2 linked regions of the Nothobranchius furzeri genome follow. The protein of the gene in region 1 purifies or fractionates together with the protein of each later gene. This does not show direct contact. Links are inferred from orthologs where the notes say so. Each region holds a gene or a part of one and is shown in the gene's direction. Other genes may lie near its edges.

What was found. The genes of interacting proteins can lie anywhere in the genome.
Region 2: the proteins of polr2h (region 1) and polr3d purify together in Homo sapiens (affinity purification with mass spectrometry; 4 studies listed by BioGRID and IntAct, with this or other methods). This does not show direct contact. The link is inferred for Nothobranchius furzeri from reciprocal best matches to the Homo sapiens genes POLR2H and POLR3D.

Annotation. Positions count from the first base shown.
Region 1 is NC_091748.1:62,882,955-62,887,056, reverse strand, and holds the start of polr2h (DNA-directed RNA polymerases I, II, and III subunit RPABC3), read left to right. Parts: upstream 1-1,274; 5' UTR 1,275-1,447; intron 1,448-1,680; exon of another isoform or gene 1,681-1,735; 5' UTR 1,736-1,747; coding exon 1,748-1,820; intron 1,821-3,757; coding exon 3,758-3,841; intron 3,842-3,928; coding exon 3,929-4,022; intron 4,023-4,102. Other genes in the region: lisH domain-containing protein ARMC9, read right to left, coding at 147-272, 392-466. UniProt on the Homo sapiens protein: DNA-dependent RNA polymerase catalyzes the transcription of DNA into RNA using the four ribonucleoside triphosphates as substrates.
Region 2 is NC_091757.1:39,754,470-39,758,680, forward strand, and holds the start of polr3d (DNA-directed RNA polymerase III subunit RPC4), read left to right. Parts: upstream 1-1,406; 5' UTR 1,407-1,562; intron 1,563-2,536; 5' UTR 2,537-2,542; coding exon 2,543-2,701; intron 2,702-4,201; coding exon 4,202-4,211. UniProt on the Homo sapiens protein: DNA-dependent RNA polymerase catalyzes the transcription of DNA into RNA using the four ribonucleoside triphosphates as substrates.

The DNA of each region.
Region 1 (4,102 bases):
TCAGCTGGACCATCTTGGCATTTGCATACTTGTTAGGCTGTGTACGTCCTTTTGTAGGATTACTGGAACTACATAAACGTCTCCCCACTATGACAGAAAACACACCAACATAGCAGATTTCCATGTTGAAGAAGAGCATTGTTTACCTGAATGACACGAGTCTTAGAGTCTCTTAGAGCATTTCCTCTCGGTTTTGAGACCAGCTTGCCTTTCCTTTTGCATTCCTTGTCAAAAACCTGAACAGTCTCCTCAAACTCCTCAAACGTGAGGTACTGCAACAAACAAACAAACATGATTCAACTTAAACAGTGAAGGATGACACTGAGTTTTGGTGCATTTCATTCATTTTCAGCGAACATCAATATTGCTGTGACCCAGATATCTTCTCTACCTCTTTGATCATCCCAAGAAGATCAGCTTCTGTTGCCAAGACGTCCCCCATCTTGGCTTCCTCACTGGAACTCATGTGTGTACCGAAAACATTTAATACCCCTTTAGACGGGAACGATTTCTGCTTTCATTCAAAAACGTTTATAGATCTAGGGTTCAAGCTAAAAGGTGCAAGAACAAAAGAGCAAAATACATAAGTAAAAACTTAATTCTATGAGCAGTAGTAAAAATAACCAAACACCAAAACGCACAACGGAATGCTAGTGTAACTTCGGCAGGCATGTGGGGTTTTATACCATCTTAAATGGTTTAACATCAAGATTAGCAACAACTTATGAAGCTACAAGCTATCTAATTAGTTGACACACGACAGGACATTAACATGGCTCCTACCTTATTCGCACGTAATTTGATTTGGGAGAATTGACGTACAAACAAGTTTGTGATGCGTTAACAAGTAAACGAGATCCATAAAGTACATTTTTGCTCGCTTTGTCGGACAGTGAACGAAAAAATAGCTGGCAACCACAAACAGGAGGGACGCTAAAAATACCTAGCAACCAGAGGGTCACCGGAAAGTAAATGTGAGTGTCGTAAACTAAAACTAACTAAATGTATTATATTTTACAAGAAAATATATTGAATAACCTTAAGTTATGAGGCATGCGATTTAGAAAAACAAAAGTAAACGATTGTAAATTATAACAACGCACAGACAAACGTAATTGTTGACCTTTTTTAGGATACATTATGCAATTTTAATGGTAAAACTATTATTTTAGTACGAGTATTATATTTTTACAATTTCTTATGTTTTACTTTGCTTTTTAACATAAACATTTATTTTTTCATTTTATTTTGTTTTATGAGAAGTACTTCCCGTGTCAAAGGTTAATCACGTTGTTTCTGCGCGCCACAGATTGGCTAGATAGCAATGAATTAAATTACTCTTAAATAACAAATCTAGCTTATGTTTTGAACAGTCGCTGTTGTCCTAAAGAATCGAGTAGTTGCGAGGCTTCTGTGTTTGCATTACGACATCTAAAAATAATTTGGGGTAAGTGCAACAAATGAATTAACAGTATGCTAAAGCTAGCTGTTAGCCAAAATAGGAGATTCAACGTGGAAGATAAAACTTGCCAACTTTAACTGACGTATGTCCTAGTCTTATTTTTATATAAAAGTATTTTATGGTAATATGCTTATAGCAGTTGATTTCTTGTGCTACCTAACGTTTCATTGCTTTTTAAAAGTTACTATAGTTTATTACGTTTTATTTTTTGTTGACAGGTTGTTCAAGTCATAACAGGGGCTTAAACATTTGATCCCCTGCACAAATTCACAGAGTGGGCCAACGATGGCTGGAATTTTGTTTGAAGATATCTTTGATGTGAAAGACATTGATCCAGATGGCAAGAAGTTTGACAGAGGTACTTATGAAGTACAATAACGTATTGGGGTGACTTATTTAATTATTCCATCATATTGTTTTTGTCGTATTGACATAATGCACAGGTATATTGACTCATGAGTAATCATTTATTCTACGTTTTTATTTGCCCACGTTAAGGCAGACTTTACATAGTGATGTTAAAGAAAATCTGGCATCCTGAAGTTAAAAGCTAATATAAAATTGAAAGACATTCAGCTCATTAAGAGAGCAGTTAAAAAACCAACTTGCTTATTGGATTTAGTTTATACAGGTGCTGGCCAGTAAATTAGAATATCATCAAAAGGTTGAAAATATTTCAGTAATTCCATTCAAAACGTGAAACTTGTACATTATATTCATGCAATGCACACAGACCAATGTATTTCCAATGTTCATTACATTTAAATTAGATATTCATAAGTGACAACTAATGAAAACTCCAAATTTGGTATCTCAAAAAATTAGAATATTCTGAAAAGGCTGAATATAGAAGACACCTGCTGCCACTCTAATCAGCTGATTTACTCAAAACACCTGCAAAGGCCTTTAAAAGGTCCCTCAGTCTTGTTTTGAAGGCACCACAATCATGGGGAAGACTTCTGACTTAACAGCTGTCCAAAAGACAATCATTGACACCTTGCACAAGGAGGGCAAGACACAAAAGGTGATTGCTAAAGAAGCTGGCTGTTCGCAGAGCTCTGTGTCCAAGCACATTAACAGACAGGCGAAGGGACGGATAAAATGTGGTAGAAAAAAGTGTACAAGCTCTAGGGATAACCGCACCCTGCAGAGAATTGTGACGACAAACCCATTCAAAAATGTGGGGGAGATCCACAAAGAGTGGACTGCAGCTGGAGTCAGCGCTTCAAGAACCACCACGAGGAGACTCATGAAAGACATGGGATTCAGGTGTCGCATTCCGTGTGTCAAGCCACTCTTGAACAAGAAACAGCGCAAGAAGCGTCTCGCCTGGGCCAAGGACAAAAAGGACTGGACTGATGCTGAGTGGTCCAAAGTTATGTTTTCTGATGAAAGCAAGTTCTGCATTTCCTTTGGAAATCAAGGACCCAGAGTCTGGAGGAAGAGCGGAGAAGCACAGAATCCACGTTGCATGAGGTCCAGTGTAAAGTTTCCACCGTCAGTGATGGTGTGGGGTGCCATGTCATCTGCCGGTGTTGGCCCACTCTGTTTCCTGAGGTCCAGGGTCAATGCAGCCGTCTACCAGGAAGTTTTAGAGCACTTCATGCTTCCTGCTGCTGACCAACTTTATGGGGATGCAGACTTCACCTTTCAACAGGACTTGGCACCTGCACACAGTGCCAAAACCACCAGCACCTGGTTCAAGGACCATGGTATCCCTGTCCTTGATTGGCCAGCAAACTCGCCTGACCTTAACCCCATAGAAAATCTATGGGGTATTGTGAAGCGGAGGATGCAATACGCTAGACCCAACAATGCAGAGGAGCTGAAGACGACTATCAGAGCAACCTGGGCTCTCATAACACCTGAGCAGTGCCACAGACTGATCGAGTCCATGCCACGCCGCATTACTGCAGTTATTGAGGCAAAAGGAGCCCCAACTAAGTATTGAGTGCTATACATGCACATTCTTTTCATGTTCATTCTTTTCAGTTGGCCAACATTAGAGAAACAAACATTTTTTCATTGGCCTTTAGAATATTCTAATTTTCTGAGATACCAGATTTGATGTTTTCATTGGTTGTCACCTATAAATATCAAAATTAAACGTAATAAACATCGGAAATACATTGGTCTGTGTGCATTGCATGAATATAATGTACAAGTTTCACGTTTTGAATGGAATTACTGAAATATTTTCAACCTTTTGATGATATTCTAATTTACTGGCCAGCACCTGTATAACCTACAGCAGACAATGTTTATAATCTACTGACAAATTCTCACCTATTGCAGTGTCTCGTCTGCACTGTGAGAGTGAATCTTTTAAGATGGACCTCATCTTGGACGTGAACATTCAGATCTATCCTGTGGATCTTGGTGAGAGCGTAAGCCCTTTTACCGAGGGCACTCTTATTTAGTTAATTCTTAATACAATAAAAATCTGACTTATAACATATTATAAAGGTGACAAGTTTAGACTGGTGATTGCCAGTACTTTGTATGAAGATGGAACACCGGATGATGGAGAGTACAATCCTCAGGATGATCGACCATCTCGGTGAGACATTTTTTGCACTCTTCCATCATCTCGTAGTGTGTGTGATCTTTTGATGTTTGAGGTTTGGGCTCTCTGTTTAC
Region 2 (4,211 bases), on another chromosome or scaffold:
TGTTGTAAAGAACAGAAAAAAGCTCACCTCTCCAGGGCCATCAGGGCCTGAACATCTGCCAAGGGGTAGATGCCATGGTGCCTGGTCTCCACACTTCCCCCTGTGGTCAGGCCCTGAAGAGCAGCAACAGCAACAAAAGGTCCTGCACCATTTTGGTGAGGCCGCGCTGCTGCTGAAGGATTATTTCCTGTTTCACCAGGACTTCATGCAGGAGAGCTGAAAAGCATTTCAGACACAAAGTGCTTTGATTAGCTTATCACAAATAAAGTACTTTGATTAATCAATGAAAAGCGTTCTTCTTCTCTTCTTCTGTCTCTTCTCCTGGAATGTAAACATACTGAACCAAGCGTCCGACCTTGGTGATGTTACTGTGTGAAGGGGCAGCTGTTAAGGCAGACCATTATAAGATTCATAACGGTACAACCTATATAAGTCTCTAGACACCCATTTTTCTCAACAAAAAAACTGCTAAAAATATATTCAGCCTTGATTGTACACAGCAAGATTTATTATTTACAGTGATATAATTAATAATGCTCGATAACGATCAATACTAGATGTCATTTTATTGTGTTCAATGTTATATTACGTTTATTTATTACAATTATTAATAGCTTTTGTTTCATTTTTGTTCTCTGATGATTTATTTGGAAATGACTGATTTTTGGTTTGTGTTCTCAAAGCTACATAAACAAATTATATCTTGTAAAACCTCCCATAATTCAGTCAGATTCAAAACATTTCATTTCAAGGTATTTAGTAGATGAAGAGTTTTTTTTTCTTGTATGGTGCCTTCAAAAAGGTGCTTCACATTAATAATCTCACAGTAATTTATGTTACATTAACAGACTAAATAACAATGCTTCAACCTGCCCAGCATCAACAACAATCTATACATTTTTACTGATTGATATATATAATTATCATTATGTGGAAAAACAATGTGTTTATCACCAAAAATAGCCTTTTTATATTCCTTCGTAATAGTACTGATAGAGAAGAGAGCCTTAAGTGATTCCCACAGACCCCCTTAAATGAGGCTGCTAACTAACATGCTACATTCACCTTCGTGAGGTTCATTGGGTTGTGAGGAGTCACCTGCTGACATATCACCAGCTGCTGATTCTATAAGGACAAGGACAGCAACCCATTTACCATAATTAGATGAAACATAGTTCCTCTCATTGTGGATATCAAAGCTAGCTAACAGGTTGAATTTAACCAATCACTAACTAAACCCACCTTCCTTTGAGAATAACTGTGCGACATACTGACGCTCTCTCTTCTGCCTGTCCTTTCTCCTTTCATTCTTTCCTTTACTGTGACCCAGACGCGTTGCCCCGCCCGCGTTGCAGCCTGCGGCCATGCGCCTCATTCTGCGCATGCGCGTTCCGAACGGAACAACAACGCAGAGGTGTCATGGCGTCGTGCAGCACAGTGGCTCAGAAACAGAAACACAACTAGCTGGCTCAGAAACAGAAACACAACTAGCTAAGGTTCATTTATTATGACTCGCAGACCGTGAATAAACATAGAATAAAGACCCCGGAAGAAGAAATCAGGTAAGGATCTGGAAAAAGCTTAAATATCACTTTTTCTTCTCTAATGATGAAGGTTAGCGAACTAGTGCTGTATCATTATGTCCACGTGCTGGCGGTTTGTTCATTTCTAGCTGGAATTAAGTATTTTTTTCGTAGTGGGACGGTAGATTAAGAGAAACGAAAACCAGTTTAACCGTAGGAAAGTTTTCAGTGGTAACCAGTAGTCTGACTGCAAGTGAAGAAAGTTAAGTCATTTGGAGACCCAGCTGAAATGACTTCACTGCACTAGTTAACTCCTTCATTAGTAGTGTCCAAATATTTAGCTAAACAGGCCTAAAACGACAAGTTGAAAGTACTTGTGTGCCACTTTTATAAATGCAAACAATTTTTGTTCCCAGCTAAACAATAAAGTTAAATCAATCCTTCACTATTCGTTAGCATGTCTTCATATCACATCAGCTTCCAATGATGGGGTGCTGAAAGACAAAAGCCACAGGCCATGGCTAAAAAAACATCTATATAAGCAACGTGATTAAAACAGCGTCAATAAGATCAACAGTAAAACCAACAGAGGAATGTAAACAGATGCATTTAATTAGCATAATCCCCATTGTAATCCAGAAAAGAGAGAACTGGTTTTCAGTCTGAACCCAATGTTTAATATTATAATATAAAGTACACAATATTTTAGGGCTGCACATAGTAATTAGATATTTTTACGATAAGGATGTGTAGATCTCAGATGCAAAGCATCAACAGTCCAGTGTGGATGTAGATGTGCATCCAGATGTAATACCTGCATTCATATGTTGCTTTTAAATGCTACAAAATCCATCAGAATGTCGTTAGAAATAGGTGCCAATGCAGACAAAAATATCTGTGATTTTTAGATATTTTCTACAAAAAGAGTCTTTGTTGTGTCCACGATGACTACAGATACCAGTAGAAATAATTCCAAGTGAAAAAGGTTGATTTGTATCTCCTACTTTATTTAGTTCAAAATGGCTGACTCAAGTGACACCAGTAATCAGCGAATGGCGACTCCTGGAGGCAGCAGTAACGTTGGACTGCTGATGGGCCGCCGACCACCATCGGGAATCTCTCCAGGTCGCCTCCCTTCCATGAGGTCAAGAGACCTCACACTGGGGGGAGTAAAAAAGGTACTGCACCAGGTCTTTTATTAAAGTATAGTTATTTGTAGTGGTTTATAGTAGGAAGTCGAAAGTCAGGGGGAAACAATACACTGGTGCACCATTACCAGGAACTGAAGTTACCCACATCACAGCTGCGCTTCAGACAGCAGGTTTTGGAGTCTTAGTTCCTGATACTTGGACATTTATCCTCAGATTGGATAACAGTGATTCCTGGGGTTGTGCTCCTGCAGTCATTGGTGTATAAAATGAGCAGAAGTGGAGAGATGACTGAACCTTGTGGGGAACCAGTGGAGAGTGACCTGACAGTACTGTGATGGCCGTTAACCCTGACCCTCTGCTCCCTCCTCGTGAGAAAGGAGAGGACCCAGAGGATGAGATGGGAGTTAACATTCAGGTTCAGCAGTTTACATCCCATAAGATGTGGCTGGACTGTGTTGAATGCACTAGAGAAATCCACAAAGACCAGGTTGATATGTGACTTTGGCTGTTCCAGGTGGGTGAGGGTCTCATGCAGCATAGTTAGTAGAGCATCATCCACCCCTCTGTGTGGTTGGTATGCAAACTGCATTGGGTCCAAACATGCACCCACATCAACCAGCAGCTGGGCCATTACGAGCCTCTCAAAGGTCTTCACAATCAGTGATGTCAGAGCTACAGGTCCAAAGTCGCTGTTGATGCCTGGGTTGTTCTGCTTTGCCACGGGGCAGATGATAGAGGACTTCCAGATGGAGGGGATGGAGTGCTCAGCTAGCGAGCAGTTAAACAGGAAGCAGAGAACTCCCGCCAGCTGACTGCAGATGACCAGAGATCCTGCCTGGTCCTGAGGCCTTGTTGGGGTTGATCCTCTTTAGCGTGCTCTCCATGTCCACAGGCAGGAGCTGCAGGTTCTCAACGGCTTGGGACATAGGGGCTAGCTCCATGAATGTGAAGCGACAGTGTGACGTAGATCTGTCAGGCTTTTCACACCCTAGAGTTTTACTGTCTATTTTCTATCGTGTAGAAGACTTTTTCATGATCAGCCTGCATGAAAAATTCAGTGACCCATAATAATCAGAAATAATGATGCTCTTTAAAATTCTTTATTTCTAATATAATGTGAACAAAGAAAGCTTACCTGATACTCGTAGGACGATTAATACGCTGTGGATCAGTTATGATCCCAACACTGGCTTAGTGTTTACTCAAGCTGTTTACCAAAAGGGAGCTGCTTCCATCTTTGACATTTGCTCACACACCGGGTTGTTTACTCTATGGGTTTGAACTGTTTATTAAAAACAAACAACTTGCATCAAGGGGAAAATGTTCATTCAATTTAGTATTTATGTCTTTTATTTATTTATTTATATCACTGAGATTAATCTATACGAAAATGACAAGACAAAAAACCAATCATTTGTTAAAAACTCGTGGCTTCTAGGGACAAGTGATGACTAAAGATGCAACAGAAGCTGATTTTATTGTACACTGTCTAAAACCTAACACGTTTTTGTTTTCTTCCACTTTTAGAAAACGTTCA